2 linked regions of the Ovis aries genome follow. The protein of the gene in region 1 purifies or fractionates together with the protein of each later gene. This does not show direct contact. Links are inferred from orthologs where the notes say so. Each region holds a gene or a part of one and is shown on either strand. Other genes may lie near its edges. The genes, in order: EXOC7 and EXOC6B.

Region 1 (8,408 bases):
TTCAGACTCTCTAGGCTTCCCAGGTGGCACTAGGGATATAGAGCCCGTCTGCCAATGCAGGAGACTTAAGAGACATGGGTTCAATCCCTGGGTCGGGAAGACCCCCTGGAGGAGAGTATGGCAACCCACTCCAGTATTCTTGCCCGGAGAATCCCGTGGACAGAGGAGCCTGGCAGGCTACAGTCCATGGGGTCACAAAGAGTCGGACACGACTGAAGTGACTTAGCACAGGATAACCCTGTGCCTTGCACAGCCTCTCTCAGGGGGCATTTCTTCAACTCACGATGATCTAAAAGGGGCTAGACCCAAATGTTCCTTAGCTGTGAATGTGATGAAGGGGGGCAGACTAGCACCCTCTGGGGCTCACCCTTGTGCACACGCAGAGCGTGCAATCTGTCTTCTTTCGCTCTTCCTGCCCACACAGAAGCCCCTGGAGCACGGAAGGGGTCCCGAAGGAGCTGGGCGGAGGCTGCTGACCACATCTTCTTCCATGTGTATGTGGTAGGGGTGGCGTGTAGCCAGATCATCTTCATTGTGCTCTGGATATGGGCGACATGCAAGTCGGAACCCGCCCCTGGAGCAGCCGCACCCCACGGCGGGCAGCACAGGCTGTAACGGGCAAGGCCCAGGGCTGCAGACCTGGGGGGCGAGGGCTGTGACGGGGCCTCTGGACGGGGAGGGAGGTGGACTCTCTTCCCTCAGCCTGGAGGACCCCCAGCCACCCCAAGCTCTCCTTCTTGTTGGCACGTAAGCAAGGAGTGTGGAATAAACACATCACCCCAGGGCAAGGGCACCTCTGGGGTCTGTCTCTGTCACGTTCCGCTGTTTACTTTTGTTGGAGTAGGTGGGGCCCCATCTCACGTCCCTGAGCCCCATTCTGCTTCAGACTGTCTCACCACTGTCCGCTGGTCCCCCAGTCCCCAAACACTGCCTAACTGCTCCTTCAGCAACTGCTGCCGCTTAGCCCCGGGCCAGGAGCACTGGAGCCCCCGAGACAGGCCCGGGACGGTTAGGATCCCTCCTGTGAGCTCCGGCCGAGTGCTCAGAGGGCAGGGAGGGCACTTCTACTCCAGCCACCGGGTGCACCTTGGGGACAGAACCCCCCAGGCAGCAGGACTGTGGGAATGGGGCAGGCATTCTCTGCACTGAGTCTGAGAGCAGTCCAGCCTCCTTGCTTTTCTGCAGGGCCTGGGGCTGCAGTATGGCCTGCTCCCCTGAGCCTGAACCTCAGGCCTGGGCTGAAGGGCATTCACCACACCAGTTCCGAGCTGGCCTGGAGGCAGGGCTACTCAGCACTCCTCCTCCCGTCCCGCAAGGCAGCTGTAGGCACAGACCTCTGTCTCCCTTCTCTGTCCTTCTCATCTTGAAGCCATCCTGTGGCTGCTGCAGGCTGTGGTCAGGGTGACAAACCCCAAAGCTCTGGGAGAGCGCTGCTTGGGTAGGGAATGGGGGCTGCGAGAGGAAGGGCAGACCAGGACTCAATGACTCGGGGGCAGGGCTCCTGGCTGGGTGGCAGAGCAATGCCCCTGTCGCAAAGGATGCCACACTCACCCGGCCCAGAGGCAAGTCCACACCTGTTTATCTGTCCAGTAACACAGCTGCTCTGGCAGAGCCAGGCAGGGGCAGTGGCAGCTCAGGCCGAGGTGTCAAAGAGGCGATCGATCATGTCCCCCACCTGCTCCACGCGGTACTTGATGTACTTCTCCGGGTTCTTGGTGAAGGGCACGCTGCCATACCTGCCCAGGTGCTAAGGTCAGGGGGTGCAGGCTGAGCCCGCCCCTAGCCCTGCCTCAGCCTAAGGCCCTCCTGACGGTGTGCCCCGAGTCGTGTTTTGGTCTGGCCCCACACCAAAGCCATAGGTGCTGGGTCTGCCACCTGAACCCACCCCCTCTCTCCACGTTTTCTCAAAGAAAAGAGCCCAGAGGTCTTTGAGTTGGGGCAGAGGGAAGCGTGGGGCTGGGAAGGCAGAGATGAAGGGCTCACCTGTTTAGAAAGGCCCCGTAGGTCTCCTTAACGATGCTTTTCTGAGCTTGGCGGATCTTGTCCCTCTGCTCTGTGTCGGGAATAGCCCAGGCCTTCTGGATCTTGCACAACTCCTCAAGGCCATCGTTGAAGCCCTGGCCACCAAACAGGGGGAAATAGCAGTGATCCAGGGACAAATGTTTGGGTCTGTGTTGCTACACATCAATCGATGGAGGGGAGAAGATCCTGATTTACCTTAAAACGCTCCTTGATCATCTGCCGCTCCTTGTCCCGAAGCTGGGGGCCGGGGGAGATAGCAGACAAAGTGGAGCTCAGAGCAGAGGCGCCCTGCCCCTGGCTCCTTCCCTTCTGCCCCCGGGGCCACAGGCATCCTTGCTTTCTCATCCTGGTTGTTTACTTTTTTTCCCAGAGAGACAACATAGAGCACCATATCCACTAGCCATCCCTCCCCTCCCCTTCAGCTCACCTTGACTCCAGGCTGGACCACAGGTAGATTCTTCTCGGCAATGTAGTCAGTCACCTTTAACCAACTGCGAGGCAGGGAGGGAAACACAGGGCAGAAAAGGGACAGCCTCAGGCCCCTGCTCCCTTTCCTGGGGTTTTGTTTTTTCAAAAATCTCTTCATCTACTGGGGTAGGTGGTGAGGGCAGGGATCGGTTTGGGTCAAAACTGAGCAAAACACAGCTGAGATTTTTTTTCTCCCCCCTTGGGAATAAAAATGTTCAAGCTGCTCGCTTTTAAAATTAAGGACAGGAAACAGAGCACTCAATAGATTGATTAAGCACTGCCGACTGCAGTTCATGTCAGCATCACAGCCAATTTAGATGGAGAAGCAGATGAGAAAGGAGGAGCAGATAAACAAGAAGGAAGAGGGAGATACAGCCACGGGGAAGAAACACCCGAAGGGAGAGAGACACACGAACTAAGAAACAGGAGGAGAGGACCAGAGACAGGTCCGGAGGGCGAGGCTCGGCCAAGTTCAAGGGCCCTTGCGACCTTGCTCTTTGCTCGGCCAAAAAGTTACCCACATCTCTGACAGTCAACCATTCTTAGCTGTCACCCTTGGCAGACTACCCTTGAACAGACTGGCAAAGTGCCCCTTCCCTGCCAAGGAGTAGCAAGTGGGAGGGGGCCTCCCACCCCCAACAAATGTGATTAAAAAGCAGAGGATTGGGGTCCACTGGGCAGCAGTTCCCCACCACTGACCCCGCCCAGCGTCCCCAGGCTCTGGGAAGGAAGCGTGAGTGGTGGGTATGCAGGTCGAGGTGGGGGGCTCCCCACCTGCGCTGGTAGGTCTGGATCTGCTGCTCGATGTGCTCCCGGTAGGAGCGCTCGGCAGTCTTCTGGGTCACGGCCACCAGCTGGATCAGCTCGGACCTGGGGTGGGAGCGGGGGGCGGGAGGAGAGAGAGGAGGTCCCACAGGCTGCTGGCCTTCGCAGCAACCTCGACGGGGCCTGCCTCCCACCTCCCTGGGTCCTGGGCCCGCCTAGGGTGAAGGGGTGCCCTCTCCACCGGGACACCAGGGGGCATGGCCATCCCCAGGAGGCCGGGCAGAGGCAGGTGAGCCCCAGAGCAGCCCCCGCGGCCACTTACTTCTCCAGGGCCTTGAGGATGTAGTTGTAGTTGTTGTGCAGGAAGATGGCGCTCAGAGCCGGGTCCTCATACACCTTGGATTTGCTCAGCAGGTTCAACTGCAGGTTGCCTAGGACTTTACCTGCACAGGGAAGGACGTGGTTACCTACCAACCACGGCAGTCTGATCCGCAAACCAACTCCCACTCGTTGCTCCTTGTCCCTCCTGGACCCAAGACCCCACCAGACTCAGCAGTCCTTGGCCCAGCGCCCACAATCCCCCAACCAGAGATCAGGTTGCAATTCTAAAGGTCGGGGCAGGGTGGGGTCCCTCAGAAGCGGGCCCAGGACTAGCAGGAGCACACAGAGAGGAGAAGGAAGGGAAAAGGCAGGGAGGCCAGGCACCAGGGCTGCTGGCTGGCAGGGGCCACTTACAGATGTACGTGCTCAGCAGACGCCTGCTGAACTCGGAGCTGTAGCTGGTGGCGGAGGAGCTGGTCTCTGCGAGAGGAGAAGTCCTGTTACCGCGGCGGTGGTAGCAGCCGAGACCCTCTCTGGTCTCCCCTTGGCCAGGGGAACAGCTGGGGAAACCCTGGGAGGAGCCTTCCTTAGTCAGAGCTGGGTATGTCCTGAGCTACGGGGCTCCCTTCCAGCTGAGGGGAGCGCTTCCTGGGACTCTTCTGGAATCCGGGGAGGCCCCTCCATGGTCCTGGGTGGTAGGGTTAATGAGCTGGCCCCCAAGGACCAGGAGGAAGACGGGCAGGATGGGCGTGGGGACAGCCCCTTCCCCCCACCCAAGCTGGGTGGTACCTACAAGACCCACATATCCCATTTGTTAGCAGCAGAGTTTTAGAATAGGCCCCTGATGGCCTCTCCACCTTCTCCCCCACTACCCATAACCTCCTCTACCAGACCAGAGGTGTCCTGCCCACACAGAGCAGAAGGCCAGGGGGGTGGGGAGTGGACAGGGGAGGAAGGGGACAGGGAGGTGCTGGACCTGCCCAAAGGGTGTAGTCAGGGTGCTGGGCACAGCAGGATGCTGTCTGCAGAAGCCCAGGGACAGAAACTGGTGGTCAGAGAGCTGAGGGGGTCAGGAGCACCCTGAAGGAACCCGTGCCCCTCTGACCCTGCTCGGACTGGGGCCCTGAGCCTGTCCAGGGGCCTCTGTCCCCAGGGAACCTCACCCACGGGGCTTCAGAGGGGTAGGATGGGGCTGCCGAGCCCTGCTGCTTACCTCGGGGGTCTAAAGGAATATTGTATGTGTCCCCAAGAACTACGCAGTGAGAGGCAGTGCGCACAGAGGGGAAGGGGGGAGACAAAGGAGGGAGAAAGATGCAAAGTGCAAAACAGGTTAGAGACGGCCGCCACACCCGAGCCAAGCAGCCCACGCCCCTCGACACCGGGACACAGACAGCAGGAAAGCCCAGGCTGGACCCCCGCAGGCCAGGGACACACTGGAAAGTGGACATCAGGAGAACGACAGGCCAGAGGCTGCCCCCAGGATGCGGGGTACAGGGGAGGCCCAGGGCTGGGTCTCAGCACACGCCTCCCCACGTGCTGACTTCCCAGCCCCAGTCACGGGAAGACACCAGGCTGGCCCTGAGATGCCAGCCGAGCCCGCTCAATGGGTCAGCAGTGTGAGACCAAGTAGGAGGACAGGCAACACAAGAGGAGGTGGGGAAGTGCAGGAGGAGGCGGGAGCGGGGCACGAAAGACACTTTCAGACAAGTGGGGTCCGCGCTCCAGGGCGAGGACGGTGGAGGGAGCCGGGGGGACGGAGGCCGGGGCAGGTGGTCAGACCCTGCTCTCCTGATGCTGGGTCTGATGGTCCAAGAGGCTTGAGGGAGGTCCCGTCACAGGCCACGACTCCTTTCCACCCACCCAGGGTGGGGGGAATCTCCTCACCCAGAGAGGAGGGTGCCCCCTGGGGAGGGGCTAACCCCATGTCTCTAGCCTGGAGGGAGGAATGGGGTGGGGGGCCCCACTGGGAGGTGTCAAGTACCTTGGGAGGCCAGCATGGCACCTGCCGTCTCCTGGAAGTCCAGGAGCTGCTGCAGGAAGAGGATGGCCTGTGTGGGGAGAAAACGGGGCCAAGAAGAAGGTTAAGGGCAGGACCCAAAGGCTGGATCAGCCCCCACAATGCAGCCCCTCTGACCGTTCCAGACAGGTGAGGGCAGGCGAAACGGGTGGGAGCAAACTTGCTGCTTCACCCTGTGGGTCTGGCCTCCAGGGAAAGGCCCCGTCTGCAGAGGGCACTTAGCGCCTCCAGCCCATCCTGCCACCTGCGCCCCCCGCCCGCCCCAGGAGTCCCCAGCAGCACCTACGTTGCTCGTGAGCTCGTGCACGGTGCCATCCTTGGGCATGTTGTATTCCTTGTCGGGGTCGTTCTGTGGGACAGACAGCCTGAGTCCCTGAAACAGCTCCTAAGGAGGCCCCAGCCAACCTTGCACCCGTCTGTGGGCCCACAGCACCACCTCCTGGCAGACAAGTGTCAGGACACCCCATCCGGCACAAAAAACGAGCAAGAGGGACCTAAAGGAGCTTGATGCCTCAAGTGGGGGCCTCTGGGAAAGAAAGGGAGGCCCGTGGGTACTGACAGGAGACCAGCAGCACGGCTGGCTGGCTTCCCTGCAGGGCAGGCCCAACCCACTTGGAGGCCTGCTCTCAGGAGTTCCTGAGGCCGGTCGCAGGTGGCCCTGCCTGCAGCCCCGCCTGCCGGCCTGGGTGGCGTGAACAGAGGAAGGGCACCTTGATGTTGTCGGCAAAGTCCTCCAGCGCTTTGGCTCCCACAGTCTCCATGGAAGTGATGAGGCTGGGCAGCTTGTTCTTGGTGCTGGCGGCTGTGCCCTGAGGATGTAGCCACAGGGCTGCACAGGGCTCCGGAGCCCTGCTCCTTCCCAGCCCCCCGCCCCGGGGACTGTCTCTTCTCCTCATTCCCCTGAGAGTGCCTCCACCCACCCAGGGCCCTGAGGAAGCTGCCGCTGCCCACCACTCTGAGCAGAGAATGCAGTTCTCCTGGGAGGCCCTGCTAGGCAGCATCCCCAAGGGCCCCCCCCACCCCCACGTACCTGGAGCACCTGGTCAAACTCAGGCTTGGTCTGCTTGAGGTGCCGCAAGATGGGGAAGACAGTGAGCACGGCTGAGAAGTCGTGGCGGATGATGGCCTTGCGGGCGGCCACCACAATGTTCTCGCCTTCTAGCATGAGCCCGTCCAGGGCGTCCTGAGAGAGCGGGGCAGGGGGAGGGCTCAGGGGAGGGGCAGCCAGCCGGCTCCCATGGCCAGTGAGGGGACCTGGAAGGGTGTGAGGAGGTGTGTGCCTCTGATCACCCAGTTCAGAGGCCCCAGGATCGGGGTGGAGGCAGTGGCTGGAGTTAAGGGCTAGGAACCTGGCCCAGACTCAAGCTTCTGCAGGGATAGCTCTCACTTGGGGCGGGGCGGGGCCAGACCTGTATCAAAGAGTCGAAGGTCTTTTTCTGATGGTGCTCAGGGATGACGTCCGTCAGCAGCTGGTACTCGCTCTGGGCCAGCTTGACAAAGGCACTGGCGCAGTGAATGTAGGCATCGGTTTCCACGTCCAGCATGTCATCTCTCCCTGGGGGGACAGCAGGGCCCCTGAGCTACTGGTCTGGGGTAGCCCCTCTCCCTGCTGGGGTGGGGGCCGTGAATCTCTCCAGCTCCTGGCCAGATTGGCAGCAGATGGGAGGAAGACTGCTGGCAGAAAGCTGAGAGGACTCCAGCAGAGCTGCCAGGGTTTGAGGAGGGAAAAATGGGGCTGAGTCCAGCCTTGGTCTGAGCTTCATTTTCAGCTCTGCTGTGGGCAGTATTACTATCCCAGAGCGTCAGGTGTGGGAGGTGTGGGGGAGGATTCAAGGACAAGAAGACCCCTCAGTCTACTTCCCGGAGAAGACACGTCTGACCCCAGACAGGGGATTCTGAACTGTACTGGGAAGACGACACCCAGGGATGGGCAAGAGGCAATGTCCACCCCAAGGAGGTTGGCGCCATCTCAGAAGATGCTGGGCCTCTAAAGGCAGACACCGGCCTGGCCAGGCCTGGAATGTATAAAAAGGCAGTGGGCTCTGGTTTATGAGGCTAGCTGACATGGGATTAAAGTTGAAGAGCAGGCCACGTGAGCCCCAGACAGGGAGGATTGCTTGGTTGTCAGCTGCCCCAGGAGGAGCAGGGGGTCCCTCCCGGTACTAGAGGCTGAGGCAGTGGTGTCCGCAGGCAACTGGATGCTACATGCCAAGGGACGGGCTCTGAGGGGGTCAGAGCCTGCTGCTGGAGTCAGGTGCGGGCGCTCCCTACCCTCCAAGGGGCCGCCTGCAGCTTCTGCCCTCGGCCCAGGCCCCGAGAGCCCAGCCTGCACTCCCGTCTGGAGAGAGGCAGGGAGACCTAGTGCCCGAGAGAGAGAGAGAAGGAGGCCGGGGAGAGAGAGAGGCGAGTAGGCCTGGCTCGTCCTCGGAGCGGAGGCCGGCTGGGCGGCGGGAGCGGGCCCTCCGAGGGGTGGCCGGGAGTGCGGCAGTGGCGGCCCGCGGGCTGGGCTGCAGTACTCACCGGCCAGCGGCCCGGCCTTGTCGTTCAGGGCCTCGGACAGGTGCTTAACTCGGAAATCATGCTCGTGACCTAGCGAGACGTTGGCCGCAAACACAAGCAGCGTTTATCCAGGGGCGGGGTGGCTGCCTCTTGGGTCGGGGGGCGCTGAGAAGAAGCCCTCAGTCTCCGGGCGGATATGAGATGGGGTGTGTGTGGGGGCACTGGAGAGGGCTCTGAGCCCCTCCTCTGCCTCAGACCACCTCAGGAACAGCCGTTTCAAGCCTGACTTGCAGTGCCTGGACCACCCTTGGGAGCC
Region 2 (8,922 bases), on another chromosome or scaffold:
CAACCAGAAATATACCTGGATAAGAAAAAATGACACTCAACAAATGATGCTGGAAAAACTGCACATCACCATGCAAAAGAATGAAATTGGACACCCTTCCTTATATGACAGACAAAAATTAACTCAAATGGATCACAGACCATGATGTAGAAATAAAGTTATACAACTCTTAGGAGCAAATCTTCATAATCTTGGGTTAAGCAAAGGTTACCTAGATACAACACCAAAAGCACAAGCAAAAAAATAAAAACTAGATATGCTGGCCTCATATCAAAATTTAAAACTTTCGTACAGCAGGTGATACTATCAAGAAAAATGAAAAAAACCACCCAAAAGAATGGAAAAAAGTATTTGCAAATCCTATTCCTGGTAGAAGATATATCCAGAATATATAAAGAACACTTATAACTCAACAATAAAAATAATCCAATTTAAAACTGAGCAAAGGAACTGAAGGCACTGCTCCAAAAAACATAATACACAAAACATAAAACATAAACAAATAACTATTAAGCACATGAAAAGATTAACCATTAGAGAAATGCAAATCAAAATGACAGTGAGATACAATTTCATATCCACTGGGATGGCTAAAATAAAAAAAGATAGCAACAAGTGCTGACAAGGATATGGAGAAACTAGAGCCCTTATACATTGCTAGTGGGACTAAAAAATAGTGCATGCATTTTGTTACAGAGTTTGGCAGCTCCTTAAAATGTTCTATGATTCCATTTATACAAAGTGAACAAAACAGGCAAACCCATGAAGACAGAAAGTAGTGACTGCCTGGGGAAGGGACAGAATGAAGACTGACTGCTAATGGGTATGGGGTTTCTTTCAGGGCTGATGAAAATGTTCTAAAATTAGATTGTGGTAACTGTTACACAATTCTGTGAATTCGATAAAAAAAAAAAACATTGAATTGTACAGTTTCAATTGGTGAACTGTACAGTATATGAATATCTCAATAAAGCTACTGTTTTAAAGGCAAAGTATTTCACTGCTAAATTTGAAAGTCTGTTTTAAAATCTCAAATAACAATTAAGACAATATTAATTGCCAGTACCCAGAGAGCAAAGTGAGGAAACAGCTTATTTTGAATAAGTGATATGAAAGAAGACTAGAGATACATAGATGTGATTTGAAAAATGAGAATATAGAGCTATTGTTCATGAGTGATTTGTGACCAATATTCTGTGATCAATTTTTGCAGTGTATTAGCAGCACAATATTTTGTGATCAATTTCTGCAGTGCATTAGCACTACAAAGCAAGAATCAATATCATTTTAAAAACAAAACATGCCCTTACATCTAATGGGCCTCTTTCCTCATCTGCAAAATTAGGACTTGTAGCTAACAAAATAATTTTCGAGATGAAGACAGAGAAGAGATGGCTGCTTCCCCAAAAGAATCTTCTAGGCAACAGCCTCTGTATATATGGATAAGCTTGGGACTTTTAGAATTACAATAAATAAAGAAAGTCACTCCTTATGATAAACAGTAATCAACTAATACTGCAAGTACTATTTCAAGATTAAAATAAGGATAGTCATATAATGAAAAAGTCAAGCCATTGTGGCTCCTCAAACAAAAAGGGATAAAATTGGAAGAATAATTTGGTACCACAAATTATTATTATTTAATTCCTCTGCAGTTAGAACACCTATCTCAGGGACAAGTAAGAACCAAGAGCCTTAAAAATGCCTCAAAAGACAGAAGAAACAGGAAAGACTATGAAAAGGGATAGAGGCTGAGATTTACAGTTGAGGGTAATGGTAGGAAGAAGAGCCTATTGCCTTTAGCATACCTGTTTACTGACTGTGATGGAAAACCACGAGATAGTGATTATCAACATGCACCCAGGGTTAAAGTATGAGATCTGAAACACCAAGTCTATGCATGTTGCTGCCTCTGCATGGGATACGGAAGAAAGATGAGATCATCTCCTATGAACACGGGCAGGAACAAGCTAGACTGAAGACAAAGACAGTGGATATTACTTGTTTTGTAGGATGTTCACATGATTGAATCTTGGGTCTGATAGTTAAGATTTAGGGTTATCCATCAGAGACAGGACAATGCCAAAAATAAAAAGTCCCTGATAAAGAAAAAAGGGAGTCAACAACAGAAAATAAAACTAGTAGGATAGTGCAGTGGTTCTCAAAACTTTTCTTACCACATCCCCTTAGGACAAAAGATCTCTACTTCATCTAGCCCAAAAAAAAAAAAAAATCACCACCTTCCAATGGAGTTCAGTGATAATGCAGCAAATTTTAGGGAAAATGGATAACATTTTAAACATAATGTATATATTCTTCAGTCAATATAATGGAAAATTACAGGCTAAAATTCAGCTGAACAAATATGCATTATTATTCAGTGGAGGGCTAACATAATAAATCACAACAAACTAAACTGATAACACTAAATTAAGTCATTTATCATATAAACCAAGAACAACAGCAACTGAAAACAACCAACTCAAGACAATAGTAATGGTATTCTGATGAAAAATCCTTCCTAAAAACTCTGGTAATCCCAAATATTCCAGTGGGAGCTTTGCTTGGCTGCCAGCTATATAGCTCAGCAGCCAAATCTCTCAGTAGAATACTCAAACAGCATCCTCTGTAAGTCTAATAACATTTCATTTTACAAAAACTAAATATTAATAACCAATAGTAATGTACATAGAATACCAGTAAGTAATCTTAGTTTTTATAAAAGTAAAGATAATGGAATAAGGGTCATTCACCTTTAAGAGCTCAAGAAAATATGAAAAGAGAGGACTGTGACAGTCATGATCATACTGCAGTCAGGGACAAAAAGCAGACTACTGAGGATGGTCATGCCCCATGTCCAGGGATGGCACTGGGGGAACCGTGTGCCCTGGAGAAGGAAGCTGTGGAGGTGGAGATGAGAAGCGAAGTCCGCAGCCTGCCCCTCTTTCAACCACTTTCATGAGGCAACTTCTCCCCGTGAAAAACACAAGCAGTGAGTCATAATCTTTATGAAGGGAGGAATAGCGCCCCAAGACTGGACGAGGTGGGTAAGATCATTCTCTCTGTTGGCTGCATGGCGATCAGAAGGTGCCACAGGAAGGACGCTGTGTTGGTTCTAGGGCACTAATACACTGAGGGGAAAGAGAAAGGTAGTTTGCGCTTGGGTGAGTAATTAGCAGAAAGTACGGATAGATGGTGATCCCCAACTGAAGCAGAACAAGAGGGGTTAAGAATGCATACTCTGGATCCAGAATGCATGAGCAGGAATCGCGACTCCCCTGCTTTATGTTCCCTGTGACCTTGGGCAAGTCACTTAACCTCTTTGGGCTTCATCTGTAAAATGAGGGTAATAACAGTACCTACCTAATAGGGCTGTTTTGCGGTTTGAATAAGTTATACTTGTAAATCTCTTAATAAATGGCTTGCGCTGTACACAGTAAGTTGTAGCTAAGTTTGTTAAATAAGTTGAGGTAGGTGGCGGCTTAGTTTGACGTCTCCAGTGAAATGGGGGTGTGTGGGCAAAGTAAGTGTCACGGGGAACGGAGGGAGATAACGTCTTTTCGGCGATGAGCACCAGGAATCTGACCTTTGGGGAGGTCGTCCTCCTGACAGTGCTCAGCAAGTACTCGCTCCCAGGAGACGGGCGCGCGGGTTGAAACTTCCTTCCTTCCAGGCCTAGGATTTTCAGGAACTCGTTTCTGAGAAGTGACTGTGATTTTTAGAGGTAAGAGTTTGCTCTCCGAGCAACAGACCGTGGGGTGAATTCTGTTTTGCCTGAAGAGCAGGACCTGAGTCTGGGGCAGAAGGGTGATGTCCTCAGGGGGACCCTCTCCTAAGAGCCACCATCTGTCCGGCGCGCTCCGGCTGCCCGCGCCGGGCCAGCCTCGGAGGGAGAACGAAGGCTGCCCCAGCCCTGAGGGAGGCAGTAGGAGCCTACAGGGTAACGGGGCTGCCGGCGCCGACGGTCGGGAAGGAACCCCACGCCAGGTCTGCGGGGCTACGGAGGGGGACCTGCCCTGCCGAGGGTGGAGGTCGCTCGCCGGGTTCTCCGAAGGGAGGGGCCGGCGCTGGCCCTGCAAGAGGCCGGCCAGGCGCACAGTCCCGAGGGAGCCTCCTCCCGGGTCCCGCCCGTGCCCACCCCTCTGTGGCCCCGGTACCCAGGGTACCTGAGCGTGGGCCCGATGCAGGCCGTGTCGGTGCTCTCGATCTCTCGAAGAATCCGTTCGTGCTCCGCCGCTGTCTCCAGGCTCTCCGCCTCCGCCATCTTAACCCGCTCCATAGACTCGGGGAGCCCCGCAGCGCGTCCCCTCCCTCAGCTCCGCTCACCTTTCGCTCTCAATCTCTCTCTCTCACTCCAGGCTCCCGGGGATCCTAAGCCTCGGGCCACCCGCAGGACGACCCCTCCCTCAGACTGGGCACGCCCCCTAGCATCACCACGTCCGCGGACGTTCCGCGCGATGCCCGCTGGGATTTGTAGTTCTCTGGAAGAAAGCCTGATTTCACACATCATTCATTGAAGCCACAAACTTCTGTTAAAAGCTCCACTATAGAGGGAAGCGGGAGGGGGGTTCAGGATTGGGAACACGTGTACACCGTGGCGGATTCATGTTGATGTATGGCAAAACCAAACAATATTGTAAAGTAATTAGCCTCCAATTAAAATAAATAAATTTAAATTTTTAGAAAAGAGCTCCACTATATCCAGTGGCTAAGATTCCGTAATCCCAAGGCAGGCTGCCTGGGTTCACTCCCTGGTCAAGGAATTAGATCCCATGTGCTGCAACCATGACCTGGTGCAGCCAAATAAATAAAATTTTTTTTTGGGGGGGGGAGTTCTACTGTAAGAAAGAACAATTAGGAACTTCATATGCAACGGCGATTGTCAGACAGCTCTTGTTGAAGACCCTTGCCTCAAAGTCCAAAAGCCTCTTTAGGCACGAATATTAAGGAAGGATTAACTGGGTTTCTCTGAACAGATATCTTACAAGTTATGAAAGACGAAAAGCCCAAAACTAAAATACCCAAAACTAACAGATAAGGTGTAATGTACCTCTAAGCAAGTTCTGAGAATCAAACACTGCAAGCACTTTTGTCTGTGAAGAATTCATTGACAGACTATGCCTGAACATTTCAAAAGGTGTGATTGGAAGGTGTGAGAAGCACCTAGAAAACCAGAAAGAACTTCATTTGCACTGGTGTATAGAGAATTAGCAATGAGAGATGGTGCTAGAAGAGCATCTTGGAAGAGGAACACCAGGAACAGAAATGTGTACTTTATTCTAATGGCTCAACTGGGCGAACAACCACCTGCATCAAAAGCATCTTGGATCTCTTTTTAAATACAGATCAAAGACTAGAGATCTCTTCAAGAAAATTAGCAATATCAAAGGAACATTTCTTGAAAGGATGAGCACGAAAAGGACAGAAACCATAAGGACCTAACAAAAGCAGAAGATATGAAGAAGTGGCAAAAATACACGAACTATACAAGAAGGTGAAGTCAAGTGGGCGCTAGAAAGCATCACTACGAACAAAGCTAGTAGAGGTGATGGAATTCCAGTTGAGCTGTTTCAAATCCTGAAAGATGATGCTGTGAAAGTGCTGCACTCAATATGCCAGCAAACTTGGAAAACTCAGCAGTGGCCACAGGACTGGATAGGTCAGTTTTCATTCCAATCCCAAAGGAAGGAAAGGCCAAAGAATGCTCAAACTACTGGCACAAATGCACTCATCCCACATGCTAGTAAAGTAATGCTCAAAATTCTCCAAGCCAGGCTTCAGCAATACGTGAACCATGAACTTCCAGATGTTCAAGTAGGTTTTAGAACAGGCAGAGGAACCAGAGATCAAATTGCCAACATCTGCTGGATCATGGAAAAAGTAAGAGAGTTCCAGAAAAACATCTATTTCTGCTTTATTGACTATGCCAAAGCCTTTGACTGTGTGGATCACAATAAACTGTGAAAAATTCTGAAAGAGATGGGAATACAGACCACCTGACCTGCCTTTTGAGAAACCTATATGCAGGTCAGGAAGCAACAGTTAGAACTGGACGTGGAACAACAGACTGGTTCCAAATAGGAAAAGGAGTACGTCAAGGCTATATATTGTCACCCTGCTTATTTAACTTCTATGCAGAATACATCATGAGAAACGCAGGACTGGAAGAAGCACAAGCTGGAATCAAGATTGCTGGGAGAAATATCAATAACCTCAGATATGCAGATGACACCACCCTTATGGCAGAAAGTGAAGAGAAACTAAAGAGCCTCTTGATGACGGTGAAAGAGGAGAGGGAAAAAGTTGGCTTAAAGCTCAGCATTCAGAAAACAAAGATCATAGCATCTGGTCCCATCACTTCATGGGAAATAGATGGGGAAACAGTAGAAACAGTGTCAGACTTTATTTTTCTGGGCTCCAAAATCACTGCAGATGGTGATTGCAGCCATGAAATTAAAAGACGCTTACTCCTTGTCATGACCAACCTAGACAGCATATTAAAAAGCAGAGACATTGCTTTGCCAACAAAGGTCCATCTAGTCAAGGCTATGGTTTTTCCAGTGTTCATGTATGGATGTGAGAGTTGGACTGTGAAGAAAGCTGAGTACTAAAGAACTGATGCTTTTGAACTGTGGTGTTGGAGAAGACTCTTGAGAGTCCCTTGGACTGCAAGGAGATCCAACCAGTCCATTCAGAAGGAGATCAGTCCTGGGTGTTCTTTGGAAGGAATGATGCTAAAGCTGAAGCTCCAGTACTTTGGCCACCTCATGTGAAGAGCTGACTCATTGGAAAAGACCCTGATGCTGGGAGGGATTGAGGGCAGGAAGAGAAGGGGACGACAGAGAATGAGATCGCTGGATGGCGTCACCAACTCGATGGATGTGAGTCTGAGTGAACTCCAGGAGTTGGTGATAGACAGGGAGGCCTGGCGTGCTGCGATTCATGGGGTGGCGAAGAGTCGGACATGACTGAGCAACTGTACTGAACTGAACTGATACAAGAAAGGTCTTAATGACACAGATAACCCTGATCGTGTGGTCACTCATCTAGAGCCAGACATCCTGTGGTGTGAAGTCAAGTTGGCCTTAAGAAGCATCTATTTTTGTTTCGTCATTAAGTCTTATTCCCCTCTTCTGCAGCTCCACTGCCTGGAGCCTGCCAGGCTTCTCTGTCCATGGGATTTTCCAGGCAATAATGGAGTGGATTGCCATTTCCTTCTCCAGGAGATCTTCGCAACCCAGGAATCAAGCCCACATTCTCTTCCATCTCCTGCTTGAAAGGTGGATCCTTTACCACTGAGCCACCTGGGAAGCATTACTATGAACAAAGCTAGTGAAGGTAATGGAATTCTAGCTGAGCTATTTCAAATCCTAAAAGATGATACTGTTAAAATACTGCAGTCAATATATCAACAACTTTGGAAAACTCAGAAGTGGCCATAGGACTGGAAAATGTCAGTTTTCTCTCTAATCCCAAAGAAGAGCAATGTCAAAGGATTTTAAACTACAGTATAATTGCATTCATTTCACATGCTAGCAAGGTTCTGCTCAAAATCCTTCAAGCTAGGCTTCATCAGTACGTGAACCAAGAACTTCCAGATACATAACCTAGGTTTAGAAAAGGCAGAGGAACCAGAGATCTAACTGCCAACATTCACTGGCTCTTGGAGAAAACAAAGGTGTTCCATAAAAGCATCTAGTTCTGCTTCACTGACTATGCTAAAGCCTTTGGCTGTGTGTGCTTAATCCTGTCTGACTCTTTGCAACGCCATGGACTGTAGTCCACCAGGCTCCTCTGTCCATGGAATTCTCCAGGCAAGAAGAGTGGAGCAGGTTGCCATTTCCTGTTTCAGGGGATCTTCCCAACCCAAGGATCAAACCAGTGTCTCTTGTGTCTCCTGGGTTAGCAGGCAGATTCTTTACCACTAGCACCACCAGAGAAGCCCAAGTCTATTAGGACATTTTCCCTTTAAAAGATTTAGCATTGCAAATTGGATATAAAATTCTCATATACGGTTCCGTCCATCCACAGGAAGAAAGTAAATATGAACTTGGTGTTTACAGTCAGAATATGGACCCTAAAGAACCTTTACTGGGAACAAAGGTGAAAATGAGAAAGAAACTGGTCGTTATTAAGTCCCTGGACAATGCAAAGTATGTTTTCAGTGCAAAACATCTTCAGTGTAAAAAGACTAATTATGTTTTGTGAAAAGTTTATGCATTGGTCTTTACTACTGTATTTTTTAAAACAAAAGTTATTTCAAGTTTTTAAAAGGCGATAGAATTTTAATTATTTCTTATTAAAGCAACTTTTCATAAACACTTATATCATATTTAAAAGGTCAAATACATTCCAGACCAGCTGACCTGCCTCCTGAGAAATCTGTATGCTGGTCAGGAAGCAACAGTTAGAACTGGACATGGAACAAAAGACTGTTTCCAAATAAGAAAAGGAGTATATCAAGCCTGTAAATCGTCAATCTGCTTATTTAAATTATATGCAGAGTACATCATGAGAAACACTGGGCTAGATGAAGCACAACCTGGAATCAAGATTCCTGGGAGAAACATCAATAACTTCAGATATACAGATGACACCACCCTTATGGCAGAAAGCAACAAAGAACTAAAGAGCCTCTTGATGAACATGAAAGAGGAGACTGAAAAAGTTGGCTTAAAATTCAATATTTAAAAAACTAAGATCATGGCATCTGGTCCCATCACTTCATCCCAAATAGATGGGGAAGCAATGGAAACAGTGACAGACTTTATTTTGGGGGGCTCCCAAATCACTGCAGGTGGTAACTGCAGCCATGAAATTAAAAGACACTTGCTCCTCGAAAGGAAAGTTACGACCCAACCTAGACAGCATATTAAAAAGCAGAGACATTACTTTGCCAACAAAGGTCCATCTAGTCAAAGT

What was found.
Region 2: the proteins of EXOC7 (region 1) and EXOC6B purify together in Homo sapiens (affinity purification with mass spectrometry; 3 studies listed by BioGRID and IntAct, with this or other methods). This does not show direct contact. The link is inferred for Ovis aries from reciprocal best matches to the Homo sapiens genes EXOC7 and EXOC6B.

Annotation. Positions count from the first base shown.
Region 1 is NC_056064.1:54,916,625-54,925,032, reverse strand, and holds the end of EXOC7 (exocyst complex component 7), read right to left. Parts: intron 8,183-8,408; coding exon 8,114-8,182; intron 7,149-8,113; coding exon 7,003-7,148; intron 6,777-7,002; coding exon 6,624-6,776; intron 6,403-6,623; coding exon 6,304-6,402; intron 5,943-6,303; coding exon 5,880-5,942; intron 5,625-5,879; coding exon 5,558-5,624; intron 4,829-5,557; coding exon 4,790-4,828; intron 4,057-4,789; coding exon 3,991-4,056; intron 3,699-3,990; coding exon 3,578-3,698; intron 3,361-3,577; coding exon 3,265-3,360; intron 2,514-3,264; coding exon 2,450-2,513; intron 2,260-2,449; coding exon 2,218-2,259; intron 2,118-2,217; coding exon 1,984-2,117; intron 1,737-1,983; coding exon 1,634-1,736; 3' UTR 1,563-1,633; downstream 1-1,562. Other genes in the region: ZACN (zinc-activated ligand-gated ion channel), read left to right, coding at 425-615. UniProt on the Homo sapiens protein: Component of the exocyst complex involved in the docking of exocytic vesicles with fusion sites on the plasma membrane.
Region 2 is NC_056056.1:94,829,285-94,838,206, forward strand, and holds the start of EXOC6B (exocyst complex component 6B), read right to left. Parts: upstream 4,414-8,922; 5' UTR 4,280-4,413; coding exon of another isoform or gene 4,167-4,279; intron 1-4,166. UniProt on the Homo sapiens protein: Component of the exocyst complex involved in the docking of exocytic vesicles with fusion sites on the plasma membrane.